2 linked regions of the Oryctolagus cuniculus genome follow. The protein of the gene in region 2 interacts with the protein of the main gene of each other region in a pairwise test. Links are inferred from orthologs where the notes say so. Each region holds a gene or a part of one and is shown on either strand. Other genes may lie near its edges.

Region 1 (5,980 bases), on a different chromosome or scaffold from region 2:
CCTGGGAACCAAAACGGAATGGAAACTGCCCTGGCGGCTGACACAGCTGACCAGCTGGCCTCCGGTGAGTCTCTACAATTTCATAGCCTAAAATTCTCTCACATCTGCACCCTGCTCTTCATACGCAGCATGGCTGGCTTAGACTGCAGTGCCCAGCCCTCACGATGGTCTCCAGACTGCCCACTCTCGCCACAGTCAGCCTGTTCCAGCGTAATCTATGCAAACTCTAGTCTTGGGGTGGGTACTGCGGCACAGCAAGTTAAGTCAGAGCTTGGGATGCCCGTATCCCATTTGGAAGCACCTCTGCTTCCAAGGCAACTTCCTGCTTGTGCACCTGGGACCCAGTAAATGACAACCCAAGTCTCTGGATGCCTGCCACCCACATAGAGACCCAGATGGAGTTCCTGGCTCCTGGCTTCAGCCTGGCCCAACCCCGGATGCTGTGGGCATTTGGGGAGAGAACAAATGGATAGGAGTTTTCTGTGTGTGTGTGAATCTCCCTCTCTGTCACTCTACCTTTCAAATAAATAAATCTTTTTTTTAAAGATTTTATTTATTTATTTGAGAGGTAGAGTGACAGAGAGACAGAGAGACAGACAGAAAGGTCTTCTATCTGCTAGTTCATTTCCCAAATGGTTGCAACGGCCAGAGCTGGGCCAATCCTAAGCCAGCAGCTTCTCCCGGGTCTCCAACACAGTGAAGGGGCCCAAGCACTTGGGCCATCTTCTACTGCTTTCCCAGGCCATAGCAGAGAGCTGGATCACAAGAGGAGCAGCTGGGATACAAACCAGCACCCATATGGCATGCCAGCGCCATAGGCAGAGGCTTAGCCCACTATACCACAGTGCCGGCCCCCTCAAATACATAAAGCTTTACACACACACACTTTTTTGAAAACTCTGGTCTTTCTGAAACACCTGATTTCACTATCCCACGCCCCACAGGATGCACTACAAAGTCCCTGGAATGGTGTATGAGGGCCACAGATTACCGCGGCCTCTCCTCCACACACTGTCACAGTGGGCAGGGACACACAACAGGACAGAGGGGAGAGGCCCATCCTGCCTCACACCTCCCACCACCAACTCTTGCCAAGTCTGCGGGTTTTCTCACACCTCCAGCCTCACTCACATCTACGTATCATTTTTGTTGTTCTTAAAGATGTATTCGTTAATTTTGAAAATCAGAGTTACAGAGATGGAGAGCCGGAAAGAGATCGTCCACCCACTGGTTCACTCCCCAGATGGCCCCAGCAGCCAGCGCTGGGCAAGGCCGGTGCCAGGAGCTTCATCTCAGTCACGTAAGTGCCTGGCAGAGCCCAAGCACTTGAGTCGTCTCCCTCCGCTTTCCCAGGCCTTAGCAGGGAGCTGGACGGGAAGCGGAGCAGCCCATACTGGATGCCAGGGCTGCAGCGGCAGCTTTACCCACTGTGCCACAATGCCAGCCCTCGATGTCTCTTTCAACTCAAGCATCGCCTCCTCTCCAAGGCCCTGAGGGCCTAAAGGACATCCTCTCCCTGACCAGCAGCCTGAGCCACGTCGCAAGCACAGCAGTGTACTATTCCTCTCCCTCGCTGTGCTAACAGGGAGGCTGACACGGTGGGCATCCGTGTACCAGCCACACTGTGCGGCTGCTGCAGGCAGGCCTCGGTGCGTCCTGACATGCGGGAGAGTGCCTGGCAAGCAGAAGCTGCTAAATCCACGTTTCCTGAATGTATGAAACCACTTCCTGTGCATCTCCCACTGGCATGATCAATGGGCGCTACCAAAAATCTGGCTCTTTTTGTCTCTGGAGATTCGCTGAATGGATTTCGAACTATGAGACGTTTTCACAGATGGAAAAAACACTTGCTACAGAATTTTACTTCTAAAACTATTAATGTGTGTTCTCGCAAAAATAAATAAACTCTAACAATTGCAAAGACAAGTCTATTTTCTGATGCCTAATGAAAATGTTTAGTATTGGGCTGGCGCCGCGGCTGACTTGGTTAAGCCTCCACCTGTGGGGCCGGCAAGGTTCCAGTCCTGGCCGCTCCTCTTCCAGGCCAGCTCTCTGCTGTGGCCCGGGAGGGCAGTGGAGGATGGCTCAGGTGCTTGGGCCCTACACCTGCATGGGAGGCCAGGAAGAAGCACCTGGCTCCTGGCTTCAGATCGGCGCAGCGCCGGCCATAACGGCCATTTGGGGAGGGAACCAATGGAAGGAAGACCCCCCCCAACTGTCTAACTCTGCCTGTCAAAAAAAAAAAAAAGAAAGAAAAAGAAAAAGTTTAGTATTAATTGATAGTGACTCACACAAACCAAATATTCTATAGCAAGGAAGACAGACAAGAGCCAAACCCCGTTTGTGAAGCAGAAGCTAACATAACACCCCAGGAGTGGCCTTGTTCATTCCTGCTCCTCCCAGAGTGCCCTGCTCCAGCCACGCCGTTCCTTCACCAAAGACGCGATCGAGCTGCCTAAATAAGACGAAGACGAGCATTCCTGCTGCCCGCTCTCCTCCTCACTCAACAAATACCTACTAAATATCAATCGGTCTACTGCATCCCAGCCCCTGGGGACAGACCAGTGACCAACACTCCTGGCTTTCACCCAGCTCAGATTCCAATAGCGAAGCATCACCAACTGTGTACAGCACCAGAGAGAAACAGGACACGAGCGAAGGGGAACCTTCACGGGCAGCTCTTCGCAGGAAGCCTTTCTGCACTTCTCTGTGAAAACTCTTCTTAGTCCTCCAAGCAAGAACAAATTATTCAACAGGAAAAAAGTCAGCATAGGGCTGGCACTGTGGCGCAGCGGGTTAGGCTGCCACCCACCACGCCAGCATGCCTTATGGGTGCTAGTTCAAGTCCTGGCTGCTGCACTTCCAATCCAGGTCCCTGCTAATGTGCCTGGGAGGCAGCAGACCATGGCCCAAGTACCTGGGTCCCTGCCAACAATGTGGGAGACCTGAAGAAGCTCCTGGCTCCCACCTCGCCTCAGCCATCGTGGCCACTTGGGGAGTGAACCAGCAGATGGAAGATCCATCTCCCCCGCCCCTCTGTGTGTGTGTGTGTGTGTGTGTGTGTGTCTATCTGTCTCTTCCTCTGACTTTTAAATAGATAAATAAACTCTATAAAAGCCAGCATATAATGAGGATCTACATGCAAGGCACTCAACAAGATCCTGAAAATAAAACTGTTAACGGCCATAGCTGCAAGCTTCAACCTCATAGTCCCACTGGACAGGCAGACATGTTCATTCCACGAACACTGAACACTTTGTGCCAGGCGCTATACTGGGTGCACTAACTTCTCAGGACAATCCCCTGAGACTGCTCATGGCCGGAAACTGAGGCACCCAGAGGAGAAGCAGCAAGGCCTGGGGACACACAGCACGTCACTGGCAGGGCCATACAGTCCGTGCCCCTAAGCACCTCGGTCCGGGTTATGCCACCGAATCCTCAGAAAGCAATCTCCCTGGTCAATACACAGGCTCGAACCAGGAGCTAGGGAGCTAGGGCGCACACAGGAGTGGGGGCCGCACTGTCGTGAAGAATAAAGACTGCACTCTTACCTGCACTTTACAGGTACTACATGGCTACCCTGTCCGCCCCGGGAGATGCCCTGCCCTGCCGTATCCCAGGGGTCTCCTAGTGGGACTCAGGGACACAGCGTTCCCTCGACGAAGAGCAAGCCCCGGGACCCGGCGCGCGCCCCCCAGACCCCCTAAGCTCCGGGTCCGCTCGAACGTGCCCCCTGCGGGCCCTGGCAAGCCGCCAGAAGGCGCACCTCCCGAGGGAGCCTCGTCGCCCCACGACCCCCGCCCGCCTCCCTGCACACTCTCGCGGCGCGGGACCGCCCGCCCCTGACTACCTCCCGGCAGGAGCAGCGAGGCCGGGGTAGCGGCGGCCTGGGTGACCGGGATGAAGGGCACGTTGAAGCTGAACTCTGTGGCCGAGGACGAGAAGAGTAAGTTAGTGCCCGACGAGGAGGCAGACGCGCCCCCGCCGCCACCGTTAGGCTTCCTCTCGGCCATGGCTGCGGCCCACCGTCCGTTACACGTCTCCCGGTAGCCGGGGCAGCGCCACCGGCCGGAAACCAGTCACCCTCGGGCCAGCGCACTTCCGCACTTGCGCCCAGGGACCGGAAGTAGCGGCTCCCTCCCTTCCCCTAGCTCGCGTCGCCAGGAAATAACAAGGCGGCGCCGGCGTCACGCCAGGGCTTAGCACGTGACCCCTGTCGCGGCTGCGCGAGCGAGGCTGGAGGCGGAGGGACTGGGAGAGGGGACGGTGGCCGCTGCCCGTCCTGGGTGTGTGCGCGAATGGACGCTGAAAGCCGCCGATTGCGAGGGGCGCTCCGGGCTTCCTAAAACTGTCGGAGAGATGGCTGAATGGACAGATTTGGGGAGGCCAGGGGAAGCGAGGACGAGCGGCCGCTCTCGCAGATTCGTGCCTTTCGGGACTGACCCTTGCCCCGTGGCCCAGGAGCAGAGCTGGCAAAACTTGAGACATGCTTAAGCCGTCGTTCAAAAGGGAAGCCAGGGGCTTGAGGTTGCAGGCGTGTGCCTTTAAAACAGGAGCTTTTTCTGTCCACAGTAGCCTAGTCCGAGCCGTAGTTGTCCGCTTTCACAGCTAGAGATTACAGAGGGGAAAATACAGAAATGGCCAAGCAGCGTCCTGGAGACTCCCAGAGAGGCCTCAAAGTAGCGAGCCAGGCCGCGGGTGCTGACACCCATGTGGGGTGTCAGCTTATTAAATCAGTTGACGACCCGATTTGCCTGCTGTCAAAGAGTTTTTTAAAAGCCAGAGTCTAGTTACAATGGTAAGACATTATATTAAGTAATTACCTTTTTTTTTTTTTTTTTGGACAGGCAGAGTGGATAGAGTCAGAGACAGAGAGAAAGCTGTTCCTTTGCCGTTGGTTCACCCTCCAATGGCCGCCACGGCTGGCGCGCTGCGGCCGGCGCACCACGCTGATCCGAAGCCAGGAGCCAGGTGCTTCTCCTGGTCTCCCATGGGGTGCAGGGCCCAAGCACTTGGGCCATCCTCCACTGCCCTCCCTGGCCACAGCTGAGAGCTGGCCTGGAAGAGGGGCAACCGGGACAGAATCTGGCGCCCCAACCGGGACTGGAACCCAGTGTGCCGGCGCTGCTAGGTGGAGGATTAGCCTAGTGAGCCACAGCGCCGGCCCAGTAATTACCTATTGCAATAGGAAGGTGGCCCGACAAGAACTGGACTCAGCTTTGCTCAAACAAAAAGATTTATTTACTTTTTTATTTATTTGAAAGGCAGAATGACAGACCATCCTCAAAGGGCAGCAACGGTCGGGGCTGGGCCCATCTGAGGCCAAGAATTCCACCCTGGTCTCCGACCTGGGTGGCAGGAACAACCCAAGAGGAGGGGTCATTTGTAGCCTCCCGGGCACATTAGCTGAGAGCTGGGTGGGAAGCAGAACAGCCAGTGTTGTGTCCGGTTTGAGACCCTCCCCAAAACAACTCACAAAAGGCAGACGTAGGCCAGTGCTGAGGCAAGAAGCCTGGTCCCTCACCTTCCCAGCATTTTTACCCACTCAAGTAAACAAGTACATATGTCACTACACACCTAGGCGAGTTCCTTATTCCTTATATGGCAGTTACCTAAATTTATGCATTTTATTGGTGCATTTGAGCAACTTAAGGGCTAGGCGGAAGAATCTAAATTCCAGGAATAGCTTCATTCCCGTACCCTTAGGCCTGTCTTTTCTGGCTTAAAATAAAGCCTGTCATGGAGGAATGGCGGGTCTTGCGACAGGAAGGTCCTGAAAGCTCTTAAGACCAAGATTTTAATATGTTGCCCCATATTTTATATCATTTAATCTTAACATACTACATATTATTAAGTCTTAATTTCAAATGTATTTAAACTAACTTACGGTTTGAATTAATTACTCATAACTGAACTCTACACCAGGATTCAAACAGGCTTGTTCTGAGTTGGAGACTTTTCCAAGGCTGAGTTGTGCTGA
Region 2 (5,996 bases):
GCCCTGCTCCGGCATCACGGCCCCCAGGTCACTCCTCCCCCTCCGCCTCAGCTCCCTGCCTCCTCGCCCTGGGGGAACCCCTGAGGAGGGCACTCCTAGCCTTACGGCTCCATCCGGAACGCTGGCAGAGCCCTGGCCCTGGCAGAGCCCTGGCCCTGCAGCGGAGCCCCGGCTCCGGCCCCAGCACCTTTCCCCGGGGGCCCTGACTGCAGGTGGGGGAGGGGCAGCCTCACCTACCCGTGCACACCAGCCCGGCGTCCTCACTGTGGCCGGCCCCAGCACCTTTCCCCGGGGGCCCTGACTGCAGGTGGGGGAGGGGCCAGCCTCACCTACCCGTGCACACCAGCCCGGCGTCCTCACTGTGGTCACAGTTGCTCCGGCCCCAGGGGCTCCGGGGACAGTCCCGTAGGGTCTGCTCTCCTCCTCCACACCCCACGTCGTCCATCCACACGGGCCCCGCGCCCGGCCCGAACCTGGCGCCCCCGGGGGCGGCCAGCGCGGCCCCGCAGCCCAGCTCCCGGCAGGCCACGGCGGCGTCGCGCAGGTCCCACCCGTCGTCACACACGGTGCCCCAGCGCCCGCCATGCAACACCTCCAGGCGGCCGGCGCAGCTGTGGGGGCCTGAGACCAGGCGCAGCCGCTCTGGAGGGGGGCACGGGTGGGAGGGAGGGGCCGTGAGGGGTCTGACCACAGCTCAGGAGAAGCAGTCAGCCCCCTCCTGGGAAACCGAGGCCCGGAGCGGGCACTGGTCTGAGGTCCGCCTTCCCCCCGGCCCCTTCGGGGGAAATAGCCACCATCTTTGAGGCAGGATCCCTGATGGGGCAGGCGTCAGGGACGGCAAGAAGAGGGGAGACCAGGCTGGCCCCTGAGTCCCAGGGAGGGGCGGCTCCGAGGCGGGGCCCCGCGCGGTGGGCCTGGGCTCTCACAGTGTGCAGGTCATGTCTGCAGGGCACCCACCTTGTCGGGGGGCCCCAGCCGTCAGCAAAGGGGCCCTGGTGGACTTGACCTGCTTGGGTGGCCGGGGGCTCTTCTTCCGGGGGCTTCCGGCCAGGCGGGGGGCTGGGAGGGGAGACAGCAGGAGGTCAGGGGCAGGGCTGCCGCCCGTCCCCCCACACAGGACCAGGAGCCCCCTCTCAAGGGCCACAGTGCCAGAGGACGCCCTGGGCCAGGAGAGCCAGCCTGGGGACCTGTGCGTCCCCTCCCCCACAGCTGAAGCAGGAGGTGGAGCCGGGGTGGGGGTCCTCCGGGCGCACCATGAGTCACAGGGGGCTCCTCGGAGCTGGGGCTCAGCTCCCCAGGCAGCCCCAGCCAGGGGTCCCCGTCCGGGGCGGGAGGTGATTCGTCCCTTGAATCGGCCACGCGCTGACCTGCAGGAGAGAGGTTGAGAGGAGGGTGGCCGGGGCGGAGGGCTCATGGGGGTCCCCAGGGAGATGGGCAGGGGCTGAAATACGGGGTGGGGGGTCTGGGGCTCAGGAGCGGTTTAAGTTGGGGGTCCCAGATGGAGGGCGAGACCTGGCTCTGGAGGGGACCGGGGGCTGGGAGCCTCCGGCGGTTGCTCGCTCACCTGCACAGACGAGGCCCGCGTCCTCCTCGTGGCTGCAGATGTGGGCCTTCCAGCCGCGGTGGGGGCAGAGGCCCAGGTGCCCCTCGCCGCCGCGGCAGGCCAGCTCGCTGAGCCACACGGGGCCTGCGCCCTCCCCGAAGAAGGCGCCCCCGGGGGCAGCCAGCGCCCCCCCGCAGCCCAGCTCCCGGCAGGCCACGGCGGCGTCGCGCAGGTCCCACCCGTCGTCACACACCGTGCCCCAGCGCCCGCTGTGCCGGACCTCCAGGCGGCCGGCGCAGCCGTGGGGGCCGTCGGCCAGGCGCAGCCGCTCTGGTTGGGGGGCAGAGGAGAGGCTGTGACCATCCCTGAGGTCTGGGGTCAGAGTGATGGTAGGGGGTGCAGGCTGTCCTGTGGGGTGCAGTCGGGGGGCCGGGGCCAGACTTTGGGGTGCCCAGTGGTGCTGGTCATGGTGGAACGGGGGTACCCCCAGCAGGAGCGGGAGGCCAGGCCTGGACCCGGGGAGGCGTGGAGCTGCGGGGAGAGTGTCTGGGACTTACCAATGGCCCGAACCCCAAGCAGCACCACTGCAAGAGGTTGGGGGACAGCGTGAGAGGCAGGCCCCGGGGGTCCCGCCTCATCCCGAATACCCCGAAACACACACACACGCACACTCACTCTCGGAGCAGCCACGCCTCTGACCCAGAAACCCACGCTGGGAGCTGGGAGCCAGAGCCCGGGCAGAGGGCCACCAAGCCTGAGACGGGTGGGGCTCGGACGCCTGGCCTGGGGCCAGGGCTGGGCACCTGGGGCTCTGCTTGGCCAAAGGTCAGATGGCCCGTGACCTCCACAGGACCAGGGCTTGGGCCAGGCCCCTTCTGTTCTCAGGAGGCTGAGTCCCCGAGGGGCCGGGCAGGGCAGCCAGTGGCCAGGCTATCTGGAGGCACCAAGGACTGGGTTCCCGGAAGCCCCAGTCCCTAAACTGGACGTGCTAAGGGGTCAGAGGTGGGGGCCCGGATCCCCTGAGTCCCCAGGGGAAGGGTCACTCACCGAGGAGGCAGGCCAGGACCCTCATGTTTGCAGAGTCCGGGGGAGGGGATGGGGCGACAGGGGAAGGAGGGCAGGAGAGGGGAGCAGGCGGCAGCCAAGCGAGGGCGGAGGCGAGGGAGGGAGCGCCGGCCGGAGGCGCCCGGACCCGCGGAGGAGCAGGCAGGGGCCCAAGGCTCCACCAGGAGGAAGAGAGGCTGCAGGGAGGCGGCAGGGGACCGGAGGGCGGGAGGGGGCTGGCGAGCGGCTCCGGCATGGGGAGGAGGGGGGTGGCGGGCGGGGGGAGGGTGAACGGCTAACACCCACACGCAGACGGCCAGGCAGGCCCAAGCCGAGGGACGGCAGGCTGCCGGGCAGGGGCAAGGCGGGTGCACGCGTGGGGCGCGGGCGGGGCACCCACTCTCCTGCCTCCTCCCTTGACCTTCTGGGGAGTGGGCTCTGACCCCTGCTGGGGTCAGGGGCCAGGCAGATCTGGGACTCCGGGAGCGGTAGCAAGAGGGCCTGTAGCCAGACACCAGGAGGGACTTCCTGGATTAGAGGGAGCAGAATGGAAAACTGCTCCGTCCATTCCCTCCCTCATTCCTCATCGGCGGGATTGAACGTGAACCCCCTCAGACGGCCATCTGAGGCCGGAGGCGTTGAACCGGAGTGGGGAGGGGGCGGGAAGGGGGCTCCGCAGACTCCTCGCACTCACACTCACACTCACACACACACACACACGTCCCCTGCACCAGGCAGCTGTGAGCTGGAAAAAATGCAGTCATGGGGAGCGTGACTCAGAGACTGGCAGGGACCGGGGCTGCTGTGAGCTCACCGCCTCCCCGCTCCCCCCAGACACCCACAATTAATGTCAACTCGGGGGAAGGAGGAGCCAGACAGAAGCTGGGGGGGGGGGGCGGAGGCGGGGGTCCAGAGACAGACTGGAAAAGGCATCAGAGAGAGGAGGCCACTTCGGGCTTTATTAACAAACAGTGTAGGAAACCAGATGGCTGGGTCCGGAGGAAGAGCCGCGGCCCCTCGCAGCTCCCCAGCCGCGGCCGGGTGCCCGCTGCCCACAGCACCTCGTGTCCCCCACCCCTCTCCCCGGGAGGCCCTGTCCCCTCTGGCCGTGTCCTGTGCAGCTCCCAACTCCGCTAGGTGTCCCTTCCTGGAGGGCGGGGCAGGCTGGGGACACAGGTGCCCCTGGGCTGGGGGCGGGGGTGGGTCCGTGACCTCTGGTGGCCCAGGAGCCACGAGGGAAGAGGGATTCCTGAGAAGTGCAGACCCCCCCAGACACCACGCGGACAGACCGGCGGCCGAGCCCCAGGTGTGCTGGGGAGTCACGCACGGGGCACCGGGCATGCAGCGGGCGCCACCTTCCAGCCCCGCCCCATCCTCCCGGTGGCCACGGGGACACTCAGGGGTGGGGGTCACAGGTCCTTGCAGAAGTCCCTCACGAGCGCGTAGCCCATGCAGCCCCAGCCACCCTCTGCCTGGTAGCCGCAGCCCTCTAGCATGCTGGCCACGCCCCAGGCGGCCACGGCCACGGGGACGACCAGCCGGGCGCGCGTCTCCCCCATACCCCCAGCCCAGGCCCGAGCCCGGGACTCGGCGAATGCCAGCAGCCTTCTGCCCACGCCTTGGCGCCGGTGCCAGCGGGAGACAGAAAGGCGGGTGACGCGGGCTCCGTCCCCTGCACTGGTGCCGGGGGCCAGGGCCAGGACCCCGCACACGTCGCCGGAGCCGCGCACGGCCACCCAGGGCCCCCCCAGGCCGCCCGGGGGAGGCAGCGAGCCCCAGCGGGCTCGCAGGCCCAGCTTCAGGGCAGCCACGGCCAGGAACACCGGCAGCAGGAGGGCCAGGGCGAAGGAGGCCAGGACCAAGCGCAGGCCGCTGCTGGCCGCGGCCAGGAGGAGCAGGGCCGGGGGCCGCGTCAGCACGTGGAGGGCCACCCGGTTCTCCGTGTCCTTGACGCCGGCCTGTGGAGAGGGGTCCTCGGCTGTCCATCACACTGTGTGTGGCGGGGGAGGGGCCCCAGGTGGGAGCGGAAGGCGGTGTGGGGGCTGCATGGGTGAGAAGCTGGGGGCGGGGGCATCCAGGTCCGTGGCCCTGCCCGTCAGAGCCTGCGCCCTCCAGCAGCCAGCTGCTGCCAGCCCCTGGCAAAGGGTAGAGGGCAGCCGGGAGCCAGGGGGACCCAGGGAAGAGGCAGCCTCGGAGGACACTCGCTCGGGGCGGCTGAGCCCACTCCCAGCGAACCCCGGCCCCCGCCCCCGGGCTCACCTTTAACATCTCCAGCACCAGGGGCCTCTCATCCTCCCTCATCTCCCGCACGGACAGGTGGCTGGGGGCCATGGCGGCCCCCAGGCGCCCGCCCCCGGGCGGGGAGCTGGCGTCGTGCACCTGCCGAGGACACAAGCAGATCAGCGTCAGGTGGCCGCCCGCCGGGGTGCGGGGGACAGCAGCGCTTCCCGGGGCACTCAGGCCCGCGGCGCCCCCGAATGTTCCCCGGGACTCCCGCGCCCCGTGCTGCTCGGCCGTGGGCCCCAGCACTGCGCAGCGCCTGACCCTTCCCCGACGCAGGGGCCGCCGTGAGGGCCCCCACCCCCGCCCCTGCAGGCGTCTCCCGCCCCCTCGCGTCGCAGGAGGACCCGCGAGCACCTTACACGAGGTGTGGGGGAGCGGGGTCGGGCAGGGGTCGCCGGCGGAAGTGGCGTCAGAGCCGAACGGGGCGGGCGGGGGCGCGGGCTCCCGGCCTCGGCCACCGCAGCCAGGCCTCCCGATGGGGCCCGAGGCTGCGAGCCGTGACTCTGCCACGTGACCTCGCCGAGCCCCGGGGAGAGGGCCGCGGCCGCGGCGGGCAGGAGTGGGCGCGCGCCCCTGCGCGACGTCCCCGCGTCGCCGGGCAACGGGCGCGGGAGGGCAGTGACGGCAGCGCGCGGGCTCCCATTGGCGCGCGGGCCCTCGCGGGAGGGGCTGCGCCCAAGCTCCGGTCCCCGGGGACCCGCACCCCAGCCCCGGCTTGCAGGGCTCTGAGGGGCGAGGGTCTCTTCCCCCCTCTTCAGGGGGGAGGCGGGGGGTGCCTGGCAGCGAACCAGCGGCAGAACCGGGGTTCGGGTCCCCCCCCCAAGGCCAGGGAAGCTGAGCTCGTGCCCCGCCCCAGGACATGAAGCAAGTCCCGGCTCCGGGCTCCCAGGCGGGGCCACAGCCCGGGCGCTGTCCCCCTCCCCCCAGCCCCCACACCCCAAGAAAGCGAGAGAGAAGAGATCCGCGGTCTTTATTAACCAAGCCTGGCCCGCAGGCCCTGCACTCTGCAGGCGGGGTCTGCGTGAGGCGGGCGCGGACACCCGTGGGGCCTCAAAACGTGTGCACCAGCTGGACGGAGGGCAGGGTCTGCACGATCTGGATGGAGGGCAGGGCCTGCGGGGGCACG

Evidence for each region.
Region 1: the proteins of SSC5D (region 2) and SEC23IP interact in binary tests that used the Homo sapiens proteins (3 or more experiments, as listed by UniProt). The two-hybrid records come from large-scale screens. The link is inferred for Oryctolagus cuniculus from reciprocal best matches to the Homo sapiens genes SSC5D and SEC23IP.

The regions. Positions count from the first base shown.
Region 1 is NC_091446.1:10,801,953-10,807,932, forward strand, and holds the start of SEC23IP (SEC23-interacting protein), read right to left. Parts: upstream 4,097-5,980; 5' UTR 4,014-4,096; coding exon 3,851-4,013; intron 1-3,850. UniProt on the Homo sapiens protein: Plays a role in the organization of endoplasmic reticulum exit sites. Specifically binds to phosphatidylinositol 3-phosphate (PI(3)P), phosphatidylinositol 4-phosphate (PI(4)P) and phosphatidylinositol 5-phosphate (PI(5)P).
Region 2 is NC_091449.1:3,474,695-3,480,690, forward strand, and holds the start of SSC5D (soluble scavenger receptor cysteine-rich domain-containing protein SSC5D), read right to left. Parts: upstream 3,372-5,996; 5' UTR 2,844-3,371; coding exon 2,591-2,843; intron 2,128-2,590; coding exon 2,101-2,127; intron 1,874-2,100; coding exon 1,565-1,873; intron 1,368-1,564; coding exon 1,254-1,367; intron 1,060-1,253; coding exon 958-1,059; intron 643-957; coding exon 334-642; intron 1-333. Other genes in the region: NAT14 (probable N-acetyltransferase 14), read right to left, coding at 3,997-4,545, 4,847-4,918; ZNF628 (zinc finger protein 628), read right to left, coding at 5,921-5,996.